Linked DNA regions of Alligator mississippiensis. The protein of the gene in region 2 binds, or shares a complex with, the protein of the main gene of each other region. Links are inferred from orthologs where the notes say so. Each region holds a gene or a part of one and is shown on either strand. Other genes may lie near its edges. The genes, in order: TGFBR2 and TGFB3.

The links.
Region 1: the proteins of TGFB3 (region 2) and TGFBR2 are in contact, whole or in part, in a crystal structure (PDB 9B9F), measured with the Homo sapiens proteins. The link is inferred for Alligator mississippiensis from reciprocal best matches to the Homo sapiens genes TGFB3 and TGFBR2. Residues at the interface, in NP_001316868.1 of Homo sapiens: Arg325, Lys331, Trp332, His334, Tyr390, Tyr391, Val392, Gly393, Arg394; in NP_003233.4 of Homo sapiens: Leu50, Phe53, Asp55, Ser72, Ile73, Thr74, Ser75, Ile76, Glu78, Val100, Asp141, Glu142.

The regions. Positions count from the first base shown.
Region 1 is NC_081828.1:143,383,570-143,393,126, forward strand, and holds the start of TGFBR2 (TGF-beta receptor type-2), read right to left. Parts: upstream 4,135-9,557; 5' UTR 4,031-4,134; coding exon 3,979-4,030; intron 3,335-3,978; exon of another isoform or gene 3,139-3,334; intron 1-3,138. UniProt on the Homo sapiens protein: Transmembrane serine/threonine kinase forming with the TGF-beta type I serine/threonine kinase receptor, TGFBR1, the non-promiscuous receptor for the TGF-beta cytokines TGFB1, TGFB2 and TGFB3.
Region 2 is NC_081825.1:261,764,503-261,775,088, forward strand, and holds the start of TGFB3 (transforming growth factor beta-3 proprotein), read right to left. Parts: upstream 4,606-10,586; 5' UTR 4,326-4,605; coding exon 3,965-4,325; intron 1-3,964. UniProt on the Homo sapiens protein: Transforming growth factor beta-3 proprotein: Precursor of the Latency-associated peptide (LAP) and Transforming growth factor beta-3 (TGF-beta-3) chains, which constitute the regulatory and active subunit of TGF-beta-3, respectively.

The DNA.
Region 1 (9,557 bases), on a different chromosome or scaffold from region 2:
TAGTTGCTAAATTTTGTCATAATGGGAATAAACTGAAGAAGGACCTGCCTGAGTAGAGCATCTGTACTCAGACTGCACTTAAACGTGTGCTTAATGTTAAGGACTGCCTAAATCCCACCAAAAATCAACAAGACTTAAGAACATATTTAAGAGCTTCTTGGTGTGTGACATTATTCAATCATGTGCTTAATTCTTTTCCTGAAATCAGGCTCATACTGAGGAAGAAACTCACTATTATATTATGTTTGGAACACATCTTTCCAGGCCTAAAACCCTACATGTAAACTACAATTTCATGCTTTCAGATAGTTGGTGATAAGGGTGCATGCAACTGATATCAGTTTACCCTACTTTATATTTATTGGATATTACACAAGTCTTAGATACATGTTGAAAATTTATCTTACAGCACTAAAACCAGATCATGCATTTACTAGAGAATGCTTCACTTGGTCTCAGAAACAGTCCCATTACACTCTGACATAGTAACCATGCTCAGTCTCATTTCTACACTAACTAAAGCAGTGCTCATTTGTAATAAACAGATTACTCAGAGGCAAGGAGGTAGCAAGAATGAGGTTTAATTTCTTAACTCTTATCACAGCCACCCACTAACAGAGTTGAACATCAAGATTAAGAACTCACAGTCAAAAAGACTGAGGCTGAATCTATTCAATCTTCTCAAGTTAGTCTAAGCTGTATAGATTGAGCCGATAAACAAGTGAACAGACATTCACTTTTGATTCTGGAAATACAGCCCCATGCCTGCAGTGGCTCAGGTCAGAAGCCGGGGGTGCTAGAGTAAGACTCCCTGCTTCACTGGAGCAGACAGCTTGGGCCAAGGCTAGCCCTACAAGGTGGGGTTGGGGTTGGCAGAAGAGGTGCAAAGCATTCTGGGAAGCCAGGGGACTGCAAGTCTACTTGAATCTGGACAGGATCTGGGACAGGAGTTCAATAAACTGATTTAACCTAAATCAATTAAGTCTGATACTACATCCATCCAGATTTATCTTAAACCATTTTGGCCATTTCTAATGTGGCTTATGTGCACTGAACTTCTGATTTGTTACAGATCTGAACCAGTTTCTTATACTGGTTTATATGTAATTTCTGTCCCTAGCTCAAGACTGCCTGAATATTCTGTAGATTAAGCCCATTCTTTCTACTTATTTGGGGCTATTTCCATCTTCTCCGATTAGCTTTATTCAAGAAAATACCCACCCATTTTCATTTTTCTACTGACCAAAAGCAACTTTACATCCTATTCTCATTATTAGGTAGAAAAAGAAAATACATACTTGATGAGCTCTGAGGCCAATAAATAAATAAATAAATAAAAATTAAGCAAACTAGATGGAAGAAAATGGCACTGACTCTTTGAAGGTAGGGCTATAAGAGATTTCCCATTTTACAACAGAGGGACTGATTCTGCACTGGTTTGTACTACAAAGACCTATGTAGTCCTTTACCTCCATACAAAACTAACCACATACTACCTGGTTTGCACTGTTTGGAAGCTGCAAAGCATCTGAAACTTCTGCAATATGCCAAGCTGAGAATTCAGGGAATACCAGATGCCAGAATTGCCCTTTAGGGTCATAAGCAGGTGTGAATAAGTAACAATAGTTCAGAGTTGAATTCTCAATTATGCTGGAGGCCAAAAGTGGCTCCAGCCAAGCCCAGGATTGTAGTGTCAAAAAGGTGGCTGAAAGCTTTGGATTCTACCACCTCAGCAGAACTGAAGGATACTTTCAAAGCATACTGCATGTGTAAAGCACTTTCAGACTATAATTTTTCCTTTGCATGAGTATTCACATTTAATACCCACTTTGCCCATATGCAAATTGCTACACAAGGTGGCAGCACTAAAGAATAAGGTCCACAGCTTCGGTTCTGCTCATTTACAGCAGTGCAAACTGGAGTAACTCTACTGAAGCTAGTGGTGTTGCAGTGGGGACACAGAAGTGTAACTGCAGAAAGAACACGGCAGAGCTGTGATACAGACACTACAAGGAAAAAGTCCCTACACCACAAACGCAAAAATACCAATTTAAAAATATCCTGCAGAGGAAATCTGGTCATGAGAAACTTCATCAATTGGTGCCACAACAACACCGTGTTCTCCTTTCCTCCCCTCCTCCCCCAGAAGAGGAACTATTATTGGATGAAGATTTATGAATATACATTTTTAAATCATATTAAAAAGCTCCATCCTCAATCTTGTAAACAAATATAATATAGGACTACTCATACAAAACCTTTTCACATTTAACAACTAGGAATTATCGTTTCCTACTGTTATATTATAAACAAGTTTGAAGCTATAACAATTCATCCTGGAAAAAAAAAGTGCTTGGTTTTAAAAGAACACACTCTGGTTAAATATAGGTTATAAGGTATAATCTTTTACAAAAGTTAAGAGCTAAACTAAAATCAAATGTATCCATTAACCTTTCAAAAATTCAAATTGAAACACATTGGGCCAGATCCTGAGCTTGTGTGTATATTTGTATAGCTCCACTGATATCAAGTGACCAATACCAATCCGCAATAACTAAAGATCTGCCTCATCATTGTCTAAAGGAAGAAAAACTACAGTTTACAAAATTGGGTTAATGCAAAAGAACTTGAAATAGGAACTTACTGGAAAATGACTTTCAACAAGTGCAACGGATTACTTTATTTTCATTGCCCAAGAACAAATATTATCACAGTCATCACAATCATCACTTATTAGGTACCAAAAACACATCATCGTAAAAAAAGTTCAGGCAGAAGGCTGAATATATCAGGTGCAAAATTCTTATGCTACGATAAGCCTTCATCCATACGCTGCCTTCTTTAAGATACAAACTTTATATCATTGTCACATCTGTCCCAAAAACTGTCCAGGTGTGCAGTTCTATTAGCTTTGACAAGATTACTCACTGTGCAAAAAGCAACTCAAGTATGTACAGCATCAGCAGTTTTGGATGATTGCTAAAAGACGATAAGGAACAACGGCTTGGTGGAGTGCTTATTTACTGATCAGATACAGGCCAATTAAAGGAACGTGAGGAGAGAGACAGATTCCAGAACCGTTCAGCAGTTTACACAGTGATCATGTTACTTGAGGACCTAAGGATAGGTATTTAGTACCTTAATACGTGCCTTCGGTTCTAGGTATCCACTTGATTTATAAAAGCTGTTTGCAAGTTAAAAATCCACCAGCCTCTGGCCCCTCAGCACTTCCTTAGTTTCTGGACCTTGCAGTACTAACAGGCAACCCTGCTTTCACAAGCAGGTTTTGGGGCCTACTCCCCTGTGCGCCTACAGGAGCAGCTTTTGACATGCGAGCAGTCATGCTGAGCTTGCCTGCAGAGGTGTAGGTGTAGGATGAGAAACCCCAGACTACCAACTTCTCAAGGCAGGGGCCTTGTTTTCCCCTCCACTGGCCAAGCCCCTTGGCAGACCTTTGGCAGGAGACAAATCCATCTGTGACTAGCACTAGGAGCTGGAGGGGCTTAAAAACATCCAGGGGAGTGTTATCGAGTTGGCAAAGGGGGGTGGGGTATGGCTGTCCAATCCCGCACCGCAGCCGTTTTGGGAGCGAAAGCAGATCCCAAGTCCTCCCGAGGGCATCTGCCACCACTTGACAGGTAGCGCCTGGGAGACGCAGCTGTCCGCTTCACCCCATGTGCACCAGGGCCCACACGCCGCCCCAAGGAGCAACCACCTCAGGGATGCAGGCACAACACAGGGAGCTGAGTTGCCTTCCCTGGGCACTGCTGAGATGCCCCGTCTCCAGCAGTGCCAGGAACAGCCAAGCCGCCGGACAGCTGGGCCGAGGGGGCATTCATCCCCTCCACTCCCCTGCCCTGGCTGGGAAGGGGTGCCCAGCAGCGCCCTGCCCTCCACGGCGCACGGCTCCTCCCGGGGGCCGGGGCGGGCACCGCGCCTCCCCGCCAGCGCTGTCAGCCGGACGCGGCGGACACTCACCGCAGCCCAGACAGACGTGCAGCAGCAGCAGCAGCCCCCGAGCCGGACTCATGGCGGGGCCGGGCCGGGCCGGGCCGGGCCGGGCCGAGCGGGAGGCCGCGGCGGAGGCTCGCAGGCTGCCGGGGAGTGAGTCACTCGGGCGCTGCAGGGGAAACAGGAAATCTTAAAAACTTCGCCAACAGCTGGGCAGGACTTTCTCCCTCGCACAGTAGTTCCTGCCCCCCCAGCCTCTCCCCGCTCCGCCCCGAGCCGGCCCCTCGCGGCCGCGGCAGAGGGGGGCGCCGCGCCAAGCCGGGCCGGGCCGCGGCGCGCTCCGTCAGGTGTGGGCGCGGGACCGGCCGGGCCGGCTCGGAGATGGAGGCAGCGGGCGGCTTGGATGGACCGGGCTTTCCCGCCCCCTCCGCCAGTCTCGCGGGGCTCCCGCAGCGCTCCCCGCCTGCCCGCCGCCCAGCCGCGGGGTCAGCGAGGCAGGGCTGGAAGGGACCCGCGTCCGCCCAGCCCCAGAGCGCGGGGCCGTAGAGGCAGGGCTGGAGGGGACCTACGCACCCCGACCCGGAGACCACAGCATCATCGCAAATGGGGGCTGGCAGGGACTAGTCCACCCCCCTGCTCAGAGCAGGACCATCCCCAACTAGTTCATCACCTGGAAGAGAGGGGCAGGGCTAAAAGGGACCTACCTAACTACCCCCATCTGGAGATGACAGGTCGTAGAAAACGAGAGGGGGAAAGGACCTCAGGATTGGAAGGGACTAGTCCATCCCCCTGCTCAAAGCAGGACCATCCCCAACTAGATCATCAACTAGAATAGAGGCAGGGCTGAAAAAGGCCTATGTACCCCCCATCCAGAGACCACAGGATCATAGAGGCCGGGCTGGAAAGAACCTACATACTCCCATCCCGAGACCACAGGATCATCAAAAATGAGGGTTGGAAGGGACTAGTCCATCCCCCTGCTCACAGCAGGACCATCCTCAACTAGATCATCAACTAGAATAGAGAGGAGGGGCTGAGAAGGACCTACATACCCGCATCCTGAGACCACAGGAACGTAGAGCCAGGGATGGAAAGAACCTACATACCCCCATCCCGAGAACACAGGATTACAGAATAGAGGCAGGGATGGAAAGAGATCTACATACTCCCATCCAGAGATCATAGGACCATAGAATAAAGGGAGGACTGGAAGGGACCTCCACAGCTCATCTAGTTCAACCCCTCGCCTGAGGCAGGCTCATCCCTATGCCAACCGCCTCGAGAACCTTGTTAGAATTCCTGCCATCACATGTGTGGTCATATGGGGCTCTTTTGGGCCCAACAGCATACAAACAGTCCCTGCCCCAAAGGCCTGATGAGTGAGGGGTCCTCTGGCAACATGTAACATGGTGTCCAGGGGCTGGACACAAAGAACCAAGAGGCATATGGGCAGATCTAAGGGGGGAGGGGGGGCATGCAGCTGGTGAGGTGCATCAGCACAAATAAAAACCACACATGTTTTTCTCTGGTTAAAAATAAACCGGATGCTTTACTAATACTCTCAGGGCCTAGGGCTGGATTACTCATTTTAAGGTCAAAGCAAAAGCAAAAACAATTTGCTGGACTGTGAAAGAGGAGTTTAATGACCAGGAGCAGTGAAGAGACTGGAGAATGGCAGACATAAGGTGAGCTTGAACATCAAGACCATTAAAAAGAAGAGAGAGTTGTTCATTTCAGGAGGATTAAGAGTTTAGAAGGGATAAAGGGATGAAGTAGATTATGAGTCATGAAGTCAATGGACTCATTCTGCAGTGCCTAACTAGAAGTGCTGTTGCCACTGCCAGGCAGTTGGTTTTAAACGTTGCAGGGGGACCCAGAATCTAAGGGTTGTGCAAGTGCATCATGGCACCACCCCTGGGTCCACCACTGAAAAGGTCTCTTCCAGGCCTGTATTTCCATGTTAACACCTGAGCTGTTTCTCTGTATAGGCCCAGTGAATCCCCTGGTACCTCTGTAGCAAAACCCGCAGTTTTTCTTTTTTTTATTTATTTTAAAATGCATTCCCTCCCCTTCCCCAACCATTTCTGACTTTTTCTCTCCCTCTCTATTCCCTATAGAGAAGTATAAGTAAGCTAAGATGTAGGATAAGCTTTAACATTTTATTTTAGGTAGTAAGTTTTATTTTTCTCTCCCCTCTGCAAATAAGTTCCCTACTATTTTGATATCGATACCCACTGTTTTATAAGTGATAATTATTATGTTTGTACTGCTTTTATATTGTGTGATTACTGTTTTAGGCCTATATATGTAAGTTAGCATAAGTCATGTCAAGTTTCCATTTTGTATGTCAAGCCTCCGTCTTGCGTCCTCTGCCTGAGCATCCCCTGTGTTGCAACTGTATGATTCATGTACCCCTCCCATGTCAATTGGTTCCAGGATGAATGAGAGCGATTGGGAATGAGTGAAATACAATGGTAGCAGGCCTGTACTGTCTGTAACGACTAGGCCATCACCTCGCATTGATTCATCCAGGAACCATGGACCTCACCCAGGAACAGAGACAAGAACCCAACATTTGAAAGACAAAAAATCCTACAGAACTAGTAACTCTACCATTGTACCCCACCATTACAGACACACGAAACTGCACATCCCTGCATGGAGCACACATGCTCAGTAAACCAGGGGCTGACCCTTACCGGGGCATGCCTCCTGTCACTAGGGTCACACAGAATCTGCTCCTATAAAAAGGGGGAGTGAAGACAGACCCCGTGGGACGCCCTCTCCATCTGGACCAGCACCATGCCACACCACCTATCCACCCAGAGGCCCTGCCGACGACCCCCCCTCTGGACAACACCTGCTGGACAAAGACCCCTTTCCAGCCTGGATAGGTAGCTATCACCCCCTCTTCAACCAAGGACTTGGACTCCACTTCTCTTCCCCACCTGGACTCCAACCCTTCCACTGAGTCTCTTTCTCCTGCTGCCATTGTGAGTGCGTGTGTGTGTGTGTGCACACGCGCGCGTGTGCATGTGCATGTGTGAACCAATAACTTCATGGGACTGTGTAGTGTGTTGTCTTGTTAATAAAACTGTTATTTGGACCCCTAAGTTGGGTTTTGCTTTACTAGGGTTTGGCCCTGCTCCAATCTCTGCTCCTCGCCCCTCTAACTTCTGTCTCATTTCTCCCTCTCCTGCTTCTGGCTCACTGCCACCTCCAACACTTGTCCTGAGCTCCTCTCTGCCTCCAAACCCCCTGTTTCTTTGCCACTGTCTTATTCCCTCTGCCTTTTCCTTTTCCCCTGAGCATCCAGGTTTCTGCCTCAGTTTCTTTCCTGACTGTCGCCTCCTTGCCACCACTTATCTGCCTCCCCTGCCCAATATCTCAGCTGTCTGCCTCAGTTTTCAGCCCCAGTCTACCTTAAGTAATCCTAAGCCTTGGTTCCTCAGCCAGCTTCTCTGTAGTCCACTGGTTCTACTCCTGGTTCTGGCAACTTTCACTCCCTGCGCTTTAACTCTCTCTCTCTCACCTGAACCTTCCCCCAAGTATCCCAGGTACCCCAAGCACACACATATACACTGTACCATCCAAATTAGGAATTTACCTGTGTGGATGTGTATGTGTGTGAACTGGTGAGTGTGTGTGTGTGTATATATACATATATATATGTCATTGTGTGCATGATATACAAATTAGTGATCTGTGTCTAACTTTTGGGGTGTATAGTGTATGTACTTGAATTGGTGATAGGTATGCATGTGCCTAGGCTGGTTTGGATGTGTATGTCCCTGAGCTGGTATTGTGTGTGTGTGTATGCACCCAATTGATTTGTGTGTTTGTATATGTGCAATTGTGTCACACCCTCCTATCTAACAGTGCAATATTGAGATCCTGAGAGTTGGACTGACCCCACAGGGCAACACCTCCACATGTGACAGCAGAGTAGCTCTACCTGTGCATGAGCACACTGTAAGATCGGTGTTGAAAAGACAAGACAGAACAGGCAGGTGAGAGGAACCAGAGAGAACAGAGGCTGAAGTAAGGGTAATAACAGGAAATGTTAGTGCAGACTAGCTGTGTACCTAAGGTGTCAATGTAACAAGCCAATCTCTACTGGCAGCTGCAATCCCAGCAGCTTGTCATCCTTTTCTCATAGTTTTCATTTCTCACGCTTGCAAAGATGGTTGCAAAATACCTGAATATTTGGCCAATGTTAGAATCATAGGAAAACGGGGCTGAATGGGACCTCCAGAAATCCACTAGCCAAATAGCCTGTTCAAAATAGGATCATTTTTGTCTAAACTAGCCAAGACAAAAAAATCTCTCTCACTGGCACTTAAAAATTTCCAGTGATGGAGACTTTATTGCGTTCCAAAACTGAAAAGAATTTGTGGTTTTTAAAGGAAAATTTTCAGAAAGAAACAGGCAAACCATTTTCCTGAAAACTAGGGTAAATTGTTAATAAGTCAATCAACTTTTTTTTCAAGCTAAGCTAGTTATGTAAAGATACTTGGCAGAATTTCATATCTTTTTTAAAATGCGAAATCTACATGCACAGGCACAAAAATAACCTGAAATAAAGGATCATATTAATGAAAATGTTTCGTGATTCCTCCCCACCCCGTGATGCCACCTTACCTAAGCACAGCCAACAAACAACCGAACAGGAACTCCCTGCAACAAGTATTGCAATGGGCGGGTAAGTTTAAGATGTATTTTACCAGATTAGGTGAAGGCAAGCAAACACCCATGTAACACTGGGCCACGTAGCAATCTCAGCCATCAACTACATATCCAACAGGTCCTGACTTTGCGATGGCTAATGCTCATTATGGGTCACTGAGGTAGATGAAATTCATCTGCTTCTTTCTCTAGCCTAGAGGGACTGTGGGCTCTCCATCACTGGAAATGTTTAAGCACAGGTTAGACAATTTTGTTATTTAGGATGGTATATAGGATGATTTAGAAATGATCTGGTTTTGAACAGGGTATTAGGCTAGTGGACTTTCTGAAGTCCCATTCAGCCCCATTTTCCCTGTGATTCTAACATAGACCAAATATTAATGTATTTTGTGAAGATCTTTGCAAGAGTGAGGAATCAAAACTAGGGGGAAAGGATATTTTGAGGTTGGAAGCAATGCAATGCAGCTGTTCTGTATAGTCTATTGAGCAGTTAGTGACCATAAACTCTACTGAGAGATTGAACTAACTAAGGATTGTAGCAATAGCCACTCTTGTCTCTAGAAATGCAGCCTCCAGATATAAAGTAATTATTTTACTGTGTATTTTAGTATGTGGGCTTTTAAATTTCACTACATAACTATATAACTGAGAGCAGAGTAACTAGAAGCACAGGAATAATTTGAGAGTCTCTGTTGTAATTTTGATGATTCAGCTGTGTCTTGATTACAGAACTGGAAGTGGCATCAGACCAGGGTATTTGAGACAGGGATTGAGCCCGTGCATGTGCATAATGCTGAATGTCCCATATCAGCATTTATGAATTGTTCAGTTATTTACATAATGTAATAGTTCTAGAATTTAAGCTTCAATATCCCATTTATGCAAATTTGAGTTTTAATAACTCCCTAAATGTATAGCTA
Region 2 (10,586 bases):
CCCAAATCCAGCCAGTGATTGGAAACCAGATGCAACTGAGCTTCTGTGCATCTCAGGAGACCTTAGAGGCCTGAAGCGGAGGGCCATGAGCGACTAGAAAAGTGTTAGTCATCTTTTAAGATTGGTTCTTGTAGGATTTTCTCTGCTTAAATGTGCTTGGAGGGGGTGGGGGGTGGAAATGAGGTAACCTCTCTCCTCTTTTATGGATATCAGACTCTCCCTACCTCCTCTTATACATCCGAGCCTCCAAACACGCCTTTGACTTGGGAGAGCTCAAAGGCTCCTGCTGCTCCCTGACATGGTGGCCTGTCCCACTCATGCCTGCCTGTACAGCACAGAATAGGAGGTGAGGAGATCCAGGTGACCTACCGGCTGTACCCAACCCATCTGCACCTCTGACAGGGAGACTGCTTCAAGCTTCTGCCGTTTGCTCCTCACTTGCTGTCCCCAGACATCTTTAGGTTTCTGGCTGTATCTTTCTGGAGGCATTTTCTGAAATAGGCCATTTACCTCAGAAGTTGGCTGCAGGTGATAAAGCAGCCCTGTCACTAACACCACCTGTTAATGGTGGAGCGTACCGCAGAGTACAGGTTAGGAACAGGTAAAAGGATGAAAGTGGTCTGGCACTGCTACCTCAGGTCTATCAGCGTGGATGGTGTAGGTAGCCAGGCATGGGGACAGCACTGTAGTAGCATCACTGGCCCTCTGGAAACAAAAATCAGGAGACTTTCAAGCCATTGGTGCCCACCTGCTCTCCATGCACCCACTACTGCATGCAAGGATGGGGAAAGGATGAAAGCAGTTTCTGCTGTTCACCCCAGGGACACTGCACTGGGAGGGCCTTGGTGACTGCCTGAGGCAGAATGCCCCGCTCTCTTTAGAAAGGGAGACCTTCCCTCTCAGGTGTTTACCTTGGGCAATGGCCACAGGAAGCACAGCAGAAAGAGCATTCCTTCACCATGCACAAGGGAGGAGTCTGCTCCTGAACATCTTCATCCCTTTTCCTAGAACAACCAGCCTCTCCCTGCTGCCCCCTTAGCTCCTCAGCTGTCCTCATTTTTTAGCTCATTATCCAAGCCAGTGAGTTTGTCTGGCTGATGAAGCATTAGAACAGGTGGGAGGGAGGGTGGGGTGGGGTGTGCGCGGACACACACACACACACACACACACACACACACACACACGTTTCAGACTTGTTTGTATTAGCCCAGGATCCCTTGATGGATTAAGCTCTCCTCCCTCCAAGAGGAGACTGGCTTTTGGCTCAAAATACAGTCTGAGATCACCTTCTGGCAGAATGACAGAGTCATGGGAAAGTTGAATCCCAGCCACTTTTGAAGACAGAGGATCAAATTCAGCCCTGATGTAGGTAGGTGAAACTCCACAGATTGCTGTAGGCTCTGCCTGCTTCCACCACAAGCAACTTTGATCCTCTCTCCTATGGTGACCCACTTCCCAAGATGTCTCTTCCTCTGGATAGTGGGAGATGCACTGCCCACCCCTAGGCATTCACAGGCACCTTGATCTCTTGAATATGGCACTCTGGCACCACATGGGCATCCTGACTATTGATGGGGAAAGTTATGCAACAGTAGTGCTAATGACAATAGAAGACTAGCAAGCATTCAGCAAATAAAGAGCCCAAAATTGTGGAAGCTTCCCCTCATAGCATCCCAGTACTTGCCTGCAGCATCCTTTGCTAATCCAGAGCCCTCTTCTCACTCCCAGCTGTACCGGTGTACCTCATTACTGGTCTGCCTCCTCTCCCCATTTTGTCACATTGTTCCTCCACTTAGAGGAGGTCCCTCTTCCATTGTGCCCCAACAGTTCTCCTTCTGCCTTCCCAGACTCAAATCTACTCTTCTTGCATGATCTTCAGCTACCCAGTTGTGCAAGCCAATCCTATATCACATCCAAACTTTGTTTTCAGTGTGTTTACCAGACTGTAAACTCTTTGGGGTAGAGATCTAATCTTCCCATAGGCATGCAGAGCACCATTAATGGTGCTTTAGCAGTGTATAAATACTGCAATAATAGTTTGCTAATGCCCTTTGGTCCAGCCATGCAGCCTCCCCTGCTCTGAGTCCTGCTGCCTCCTGAGAAGAGAGCTAATCATCTAACCATATGGAGTGCAGTCTGCTAGAGATTAAGTGAAATTTGTTGCATTATCACATTTTAACCTATATTCCAACTCATCATGTGTCAAGATTAACATAAACCTGGCAGTCTCAACAGTATTCTGAGACTGCCTGCACTGCATCCCAGATCCTTTGGTAAACAGTACCCAGGAACTTCTGGCGATAAATCAGCATCTCCCAGGCTGTACACTACATGATATGACTGCATGCCCTCCGATGTCTTCCAGCACTGGGGAGCCCCAAGTAGTCGCCAAGAGAAATGCTCTGCAGCTACATCTGCTCTGAATCTGCAGTCTGCTCCGGGTTTGGATCTGTTCAGTTCCAGTCTCTGTATCTGCACCTGACTCTGCTTAGTAGGTCTGTTCAGCATCTGCTCTGCACCTGTACAACATGAGTCTTCCAGCACCTCCTTTCTGTCTGCCCTTGGCTGGAGGGAGGGGGGGGGGGGGGTGATCCAATCCATATCAGTGTCTGCTCTTCACCTGTTCAGCATCTTTCTTATTCTATGATCATTTTCCATCTCTTCTGCATCCACGCAGCATCCTCATTGACATCTCCATGGCTGCATCTCTCAGCAGTCGCCTTTCTTCAGCTTGTACATCTTTCTCTTCCCTATGCTAGGTGCATGCTCTGCCCAAACCAAAGGGCCATATCTGTCCCTGCCCAGGTCAAAGGAGTTTCACCAGGGATCAATCTGGTTCTGTGCTAGTGATTCTGTTGTCCACACTGAGATTTTTTTCCTGGTGGTTACAATACGTTCAGTCTATGAGACTCAAACCATCTCCTCTACTACCTTCTTTCTTTTCTTTCCTCCTCTTCTCTCTCCTTCAGTCTCCTGTGTATTTCTCTTCCCCTCTCATCTTCTCCAGGATATCAGGGCTCTAGACACTGGCTTGACTTACTGCTTCCTGGCTGGAGTCTGGGCTGATGTTAGTCTAAGACACTGAAAACCCATCCCTTGCCTGCCCCATTGCCAGGTCTCAGGATCCTCCACCTGCTGCAGGGCTGCTAACCATCAAGTATTTCACTTTTTTTTTTTTAAATCATTGTTTTAACAATTCATCTTCAACTTTTCTGCGGTCTCCTGCCCCAATGCTTCCACTGCTTCTCTCCAGACTTGCCTACACACTCCTCCTGGACCCCCCAATGGCTTTCTAGTCTGTTCTCCAATGACTCATTTCACAGACACACACACACACACACCCCCCTCTACTGTAATTACAGAGCCCACGAGGACACCTGGCGGCAGCACAGGGAACGAAGCTGCTCCTGTCATTCTCCTTCCAACTCTGCGGCTCCAGGCTGTGGAGTTTCTTAGCGTCCACTACACTTCTTCCCCTCACGCTGTGCTTTGTTCCCGTTGCTGTCAGCCCTAGACTTGCATGCACAGAGATGCACAAAATGCATGGCTCACAGCTTTGGTGAGCACAGGGGGCCCAACTGACTCTGTCTCCAACTCCAGACCAGGAAACCTGGCCACCTCTTTCTGCTCACAGCTTCCCTGGCTCAACAAACAGGCACCGCCACCACCCTGTGCACACAGGGGGCACGCGAACAACCTCAGGCTCATTCAGACACTAAATCCTGGATGGTCTTCTCCAGTCTCCTGTCACTGGCAAGCCATGGAGACAGCCTCCTCCCTTTGCTGTGCCTCTCTTACACACACACACACGTCTCCCAGGCGCCGGGGGCACACAGCGGGCACAGCTGCGGCCGGCAGCGTCCCGCGCGCCGTGGGGACGCGCCGGGGCACGGGGTTCCCGCCAGAGGGGCCGGGCCGGGCCAGGCCGGGAGGGAGAGCAGCCCGCCTGCCCCCGGGAACTCACTGTGCTCGGGCAGGCCCTGGACCATGTCGAACTTGTGCACCTCCTTGGCGTAGTAGTCGAACTCGGAGGCGTCGCGCGCGCAGGCACCAGCACCGCCGCCGCCCTCCGCGGCACCCGGCGCGGCCCGCAGCTCGTCCAGCAGGTCGCGGGTGCTGTTGAAGAGCGCCAGGACGTGGAAGGGCACGTGGGCCGGCCCCGCCGCGGCGGGCGGGCTGGTGAGGCGCAGCTTGCTCAGGATCTGGCCGCGGATTGCCTCCACCCGCTTCTTGCGGACGTGCTCCAGGTCCAGGCTGGGGCAGGACGAGAGTGCCAGGCTGACGCCGGCCAGGCTCAGCAGCAGCAGCGCCCGCTGCAAGCGCATCTTCCCGGCCCGGGCGGCGGCCCCGGCGGCGGCCCAGGCGGCGCGGCTGGGCTCGCGGGCGGCTCACGGCTGCCGGGCGGCTCCGCGCCTCGCCGCGCCGGGCTGCCGCCGCACGGGTGTGCGCCGGGCGGCGGGGAGCGGGCGGCGCGGCCCGGCACGGCGCATGCTTCCCGGGCTGTGCCTCCCTCTGCCGGGGCGGGGGCGGGGAGGGCTAGGCGGCGGCGCTGCCCATCCCCACGGGCCGAGCCCTGGCCCTGGCCCCGGCGCACTACCGCCCCGCGCCCGCGCCCGCCGCTTTATAGCGCCCTCCCCGTGACGCGTCGGGCTGGGCTCCCGCTCCCGGCCCGGCCCCGGTTGCACAGTCGGCGGGGCAGCCCCGGGGAGACACCGCCTCCCCGGGCATCGCTGCCGCCCGGCACCGGCTCGGGGGGCTCAGGAGCCTGCGGGGGCTGCGGGAAGGCCGACGGCGCCTCCTGGTGGTGGGCCCGGCTGCGAGCGCGGAGGCGGGGGAGCTCCCGGGGCCAGGCCCCTTGCGCCGGCTTCCTCCCCCGGCCCCGCGAGGCAGGGACGTGCCGGGGCCGCGGAGACGCAGGTGGGGGCCGCCCGGGTCTCTGAAGCCCGAGCAACCCGCGGTGCCAAGACCCCCCTCCCCGCACGCCCAGCTCCTCAGTGCCTCAGGTCAGGAGGATGCGTGTCCCCCGCTGGGCTCCCCTCGGCCGCCCGCACCCCGGGGACCGATGGAGGCTTGCCCCACGCTCACAGGCACGTGGGTGTTGGCCCTCCACGAAGGTGGTTTTCGAGGCAGCTAACTCACCAGGGAAGCCCTAAATGGCCAAAAGAAAGTCAGCAGGGATTTCTTACGTACTCCCTCTCCCCAGACAAGCGCCAGGAGGTCACAACATGAAGCCAGCAGGTAGGAAGTTTAAAATGATTTCCACCTGGCATGTCATTCAGGCGGGGAGCTCGTGGACACCAGATACTGTGGATGCTGCCAATTTAGCAGACTTCCTATGCCTGACAAAGGGTGGCTGCACCCGAAAGCTTGCTAAGAACTTTTCCCCAACTACTCAGTTGGTCTAATAAAAGCTGTCACATCTACCCAAAGAACCTCGCCTCCCTATGTCCTTAGACCAACATGGCTACAACCACAAACCCAGCAAGAGGGATTGGACAAATTCTTGGAGGAAATGGAGCATCAGTAGCTACTGAGCATGGGAGTGAGGGGTACAGCCTCTGAATCAGCTTGCTAGCCCTGAAACACTGAAGGCTGCAAATAAGAGAGAAACCCTGGTCATACTGTCCCTTACAGCATCTGCGCTCTGCCCCTGTGTGACACCAGAGACTGAACAAGATGGACCTATCGTCTGACCCAGTAAGTGGTAGGTCTTGTGCTCTGCACAGGCCCCAAACCTCTGTCATCCTAGCAGAACAGGGCCCGGATGCCTGTCTCCTGCCTCAACCTATTTGGGATTGTCAGACACAGGAGATGATAGTGCCTTTCCGGTCAGCCTCATCTGGAGTAGTGTGTGCAGTTCTGAGCTCCACATTTTAAAAAGCATGTGGAGAAGTTAGAGAGGGTCTAGAAAGGACAACAAAGATGATAAAGGGCTTGGAAAGCAAGTCATATAATGAGAGACTGAAGGAAGTAGGCATGTTCAGCATGTGAAAAAGATGCTTAAGATGGGACATGATGGCAGTCTTCAAATACCTGAACTGCCATAAAGAAGAGGGAAAATACCTCTTCTCTCTTGCCGCTGAGCATAGGATGTGGAGCAATGGCTTGAAGTTGCAGTAAAGTAGGTTTAGATTGGAAATCAGGAAAAACTTCATCACTGTAAGAACAGTGGTGCAGTGGAATAGACAGCCCAGGGCAGCTGTGGACTCTTCATCACTGGAGGTGTTCAAGAAGAAGTTGGACAGTTGCTGGTCAGGGATGATCTAGGTGTAGCTACACCTATGTTCTACTGTGGGTATTTCCCATGCTTCTGGGCATTGCTGATTGCCCCCCCTCCTCCCCCCCCCTTTCTGCTATGTGTCAGTGTTTTTTTAAGCTTCCCTCAGAGGCACTGGATGTTGGCTACAGCCAAGGCTGGGGAATTTGACTGGGGCGTGCCAATGCTCCTGCTGGGGCTAAGGCCAGAGGTTTCTGACTAGAGCAGCATTTCTCAACCCGTGGGTCACACGGATATATGAAAGGGTTGCAAACAAGCTTTAAAAATGGATCAACACACTTAAAAAATGGATTCTCCTTTGAAGGAGAAAAACATGGAAAATCATGGCTTTTCCCTTGCAGGCTGGCAGAGTTCCAGCCTGCAAGGGGCTGCTTGGGGGCCTCACACATGCCCCCCAGCCTCACACACCTACCCCGTGCCCCACACACTGGGGGGTTGGGGGCAGCAGGTCGGGAGTGAAGGGCATTGGGTCAGGGCTGGCCATTGGATTTTACAAATGGGTCCTGGTACAAAAAATGTTGATAATCACTGGAATAGAGGGTCTTCCCCTTTGCTCAGGGTCAGAGTGATTCTCATATTTGAGGTCAGGAAGGAATTTTATCCCATGGTCAGATTTATATGGATCAGGTTGGTATGGACTGTGGGGGCTTTTGCCTTTCTCTGTGGTGGGGTGTATGGCCCTCTCCCCAGGAACTCTTTAAGTATATATTGACAATGTTTCATGGAAGCAGGATATTGGCTTTACCTGTGACAGGTTAGGGTGTTAGGTCTGTGTTATGTCAGGGTAAATGGTAATCTTACATAGAGTTTATCTTATGGATTGTATAGAGTGGTTTGGACAGGGATATTCCCGCCTCATTCAGGGGGTTTGGCTTGATGGCCTCTAGAGGTCTCTTCTAGCCCAACTTCTCTCTGATTCTATGACATGCTCACAACTGTATCTCCTGAGAGGCTTGAATCTCACACACACACAGCAGGGATGCTCTAAGCATGCCTAGCATCAGCTGACAACACTGATGTCCATACACATTATGGAAGTCCTGGCCACTTTTAGTCTCCACTCTTGCAGCTAGTCAGTGGCTACAGCAATCCCCCAGGAAGTGGGAGCCCTGGGTTCTAGGCTGAAAATATTCAAACATACAGCTCTTACTTTCCAGGAGAGTTCCCCAACCACCAAACTATAGGCTGTTTGTTGCTTGGGGAAGCACTTGTCAGCTCCTCCTGTTGAAATAGTAACACCAGAGCAAAGAATTCAGGTGTCACTAGACCAGATAGATGTAGTCTAGTGATTAGGACACTCACCTGCGGGGAGTCCTGTGTTCTGGTTCTAAGCCTGTTTGTATATTTTATTCAATGGCTGCTTAATGGGAAACACAGAAACTGGCCTGGGAGCAGAGAGGAGGGATCAGAAACTAGGACTCCCCTCCCCTCACTGCCTTCCCCCTTTAAAAATGCCTTCCTGACTGTACTGCAAAATCTTGCTGCCTCTTTCTGAGCTCATTAATTCAAAATGCTTTGCCACACAATGCCTCAGCCTCAGGAGGAGTTGAGAGCACTGCTAGCAGAGGACAGCCTAATGCTTGGGGCATTCGCTTGGCAGGTGGGAGCTTGGGGTTTGAACTTTCTTAAAGCCTGAGAAAAGCTTAGATTCCATGTTTGCTCCTTCCTGAATGAGTGCTCTAGCAGCTGGGGACATATGCTTAGGTCAGTAGTTCTCAGCCAGGGTGCCAGAACACCCTTTTAATTTAATGCAGGAACTGGTTCTGCCTGCGTTAGGTTAAACCTGCTGCATCTACTTCTAGGTCCATTTCCACGCAAGCCTTCTGGAAACAGAGGCACATGGGGCAGTTCCACCTGGCAGTGGCACTGGCAGTCTGTGGATAAAGTATGCAAGCTGATACTTTAGAACAAAGGTTCTCAACTAGGGTGATGCCAAATTCAGAAAAGTTTTGGAGGGAGGCATTAGGTGTAAGAAGGCTGAGAACCACTGGCTTAGGCACTTAAATGTAGGTGAGGGTTCTAGACTGTGAATCTCAGTTTGAGATAGGAGTCTAAACCCTGGATGGCATGTCTACATGTTCATTAATGCGCAGTAGTTCTTGCACATTTAGTTTAGTACTTTCTTAATGAAGTACTAACGAAATGTGCAGTAACTCATACTACTGTGCAGTGGTGCCAGCAAACAGTTTTTTTTGTGATGCTTACTGCGGCAGTAGCCTAATAACACTGCGCAGTAGTGTATTAGCATGGTTGTTGACTGGCATGCTACTGCACAATGTTATTAGGCTACTGTTCAGTAAGGGTTTTGTGTAGACACACCCAGAGTGGAGGTCAGCCTTTTTGGCAGGTGTGCCACAGTGTAAGCTCTGGTCCCCAACAAGTGCCATTCCTGACTCCTTCTCCGCCTGATCTATTACTCTGCTTTCTTCTTCCCTTGTGTTCCCTTTCCAAACTGTTGCTCTGCTTTCTGTTCCCTTCCCAATCTCCCATGTGCCACGCACAGAGGCTGCCTGTGCCTCTTGAGGTATATGTGCTGTAGGTTACCCAACCCTGATTTAAGACACAGCTCTGTCTGTGTTTCCAGGAGGGGCATGCAGGACCAGATTGCAAAGCAGCTACAGCAGGAGCAGACACTTCTGCCTGGATCAGGTTAAACCTGGCACAGCCACTCCTAGCTAAACACATGAGTGCCCAGTCTGACATTGTGGCCAAAAAGGTTTGCACAACATTTGAATGTTATAAAGAGGGGCATCTCACACTGGCTTTGGTAGGGTTAAGGAGGATGTGTAGCTCCAATAAGCCCTGCTTTGCTACACCTTCAGGTGTCAGGTGGAGAGAAAAGAAAAAAGGAAAAGCTTGGCTGGCTGAGTATGGTAGAGAGCAGGTTCTTGCTGTGCTTTTGGTTGTGAGAAAAGCATGGTTGCACTATAAGTTTCATAGACATTAGGGCTGGAAGGGACCTCGGAAGATCATCGAGTCCAGCCCCCTGCCCAAAGGGCAGGAAGTCAGCTGGGGTCATAGGATCCCAGCAAGATAAGCATCCAGTTTGCTCTTGAAGGTGTTCAATGTAGGTGCTTGAACCACCTCCGGTGGCAGGCTGTTCCAGACCTTGGGGGCTCAGACAGTAAAGAAATTCTTCCTTATGTCCAGCCTGAAACGGTCTTGTAGTAGTTTATGACCATTCGACCTAGTCGTCATCCCTTGGGGCGCTCTGGTGAACAAACGTTCACCCAGATACTGGTGGTCACCCCTGATAAACTTACAGGTGGCCATCAGATCACCCCTGAGCCTGCGCTTTTCCAGGCTAAAGAGCCCCAGGGCTCTCAGCCTGTCATCGTAGGGTCTGCTTCCCTGACCTCTGATCATGCGCGTGGCTCTTCTCTGGACTCTCTCAAGCTTCTCCACATCCTTTTTGAATTGTGGAGCCCAAAACTGGACGCCGTACTCCAGCTGCGGCCTCACTAAGGCCGAGTACAGGGGGAGAATGACGTCCCGGGATTTGCTTGAGAAGCATCTATGGATGCAAGCCAGCATTTTGGTCACTTTACTAGCCGCAGCATCGCACTGCAGGCTCATGTTCATCTTGTGGTCAATGATGACCCCCAAGTCTCTTTCTTCCATAGTGCTAGCCAACATAGCACTGCTGAGCCTATAAGGATGCTGCGAGTTTTTCTTCCCAAGGTGGAGAACCTTGCATTTATTGGCGTCGAACATCATCAGATTCTCGTCTGCCCACTTGCTGAGCCTGTCCAGGTCAGCCTGGATCACCCGCCTGTCTTCTGGTGTGGATGCTTTGCCCCAAAGTTTGGTGTCATCGGCGAACTTGGCCAGTCCACTTCTGACTCCAGTGTCCACATCATTAATGAAGATGTTGAACAGTATGGGTCCAAGGACAGAGCCTTGGGGGACCCTGCTGGTCACAGGAGACCATGATGAGTGACTTCCATCAATTACTACCCTCTGGGTCTGACCCCGGAGCCAATTTTCCAGCCAGTGGATCGTGGAGGACCCAAGGTAACAATTGGCCAGTTTCTCCAAGAGGCGATCATGGGAAACCAGATCGAAGGCTTTTTTGAAGTCAAGATATATGACATCAATCTCTTCTCCCTTGTCCAAGTGATAGGTCGCCTGGTCGTAGAAGGAAATGAGATTGGTCAAGCAAGACCTACCCGCAACAAACCCGTGCTGGCTATCTCTTAAGATGTTGGTATCGGCCAGTCCATTAAGGATGGCCTCTTTAATAAACTTTACTAAGATCTTCCCCGGGATAGAAGTCAGGCTAATGGGCCTATAGTTAGCCAGATCCACT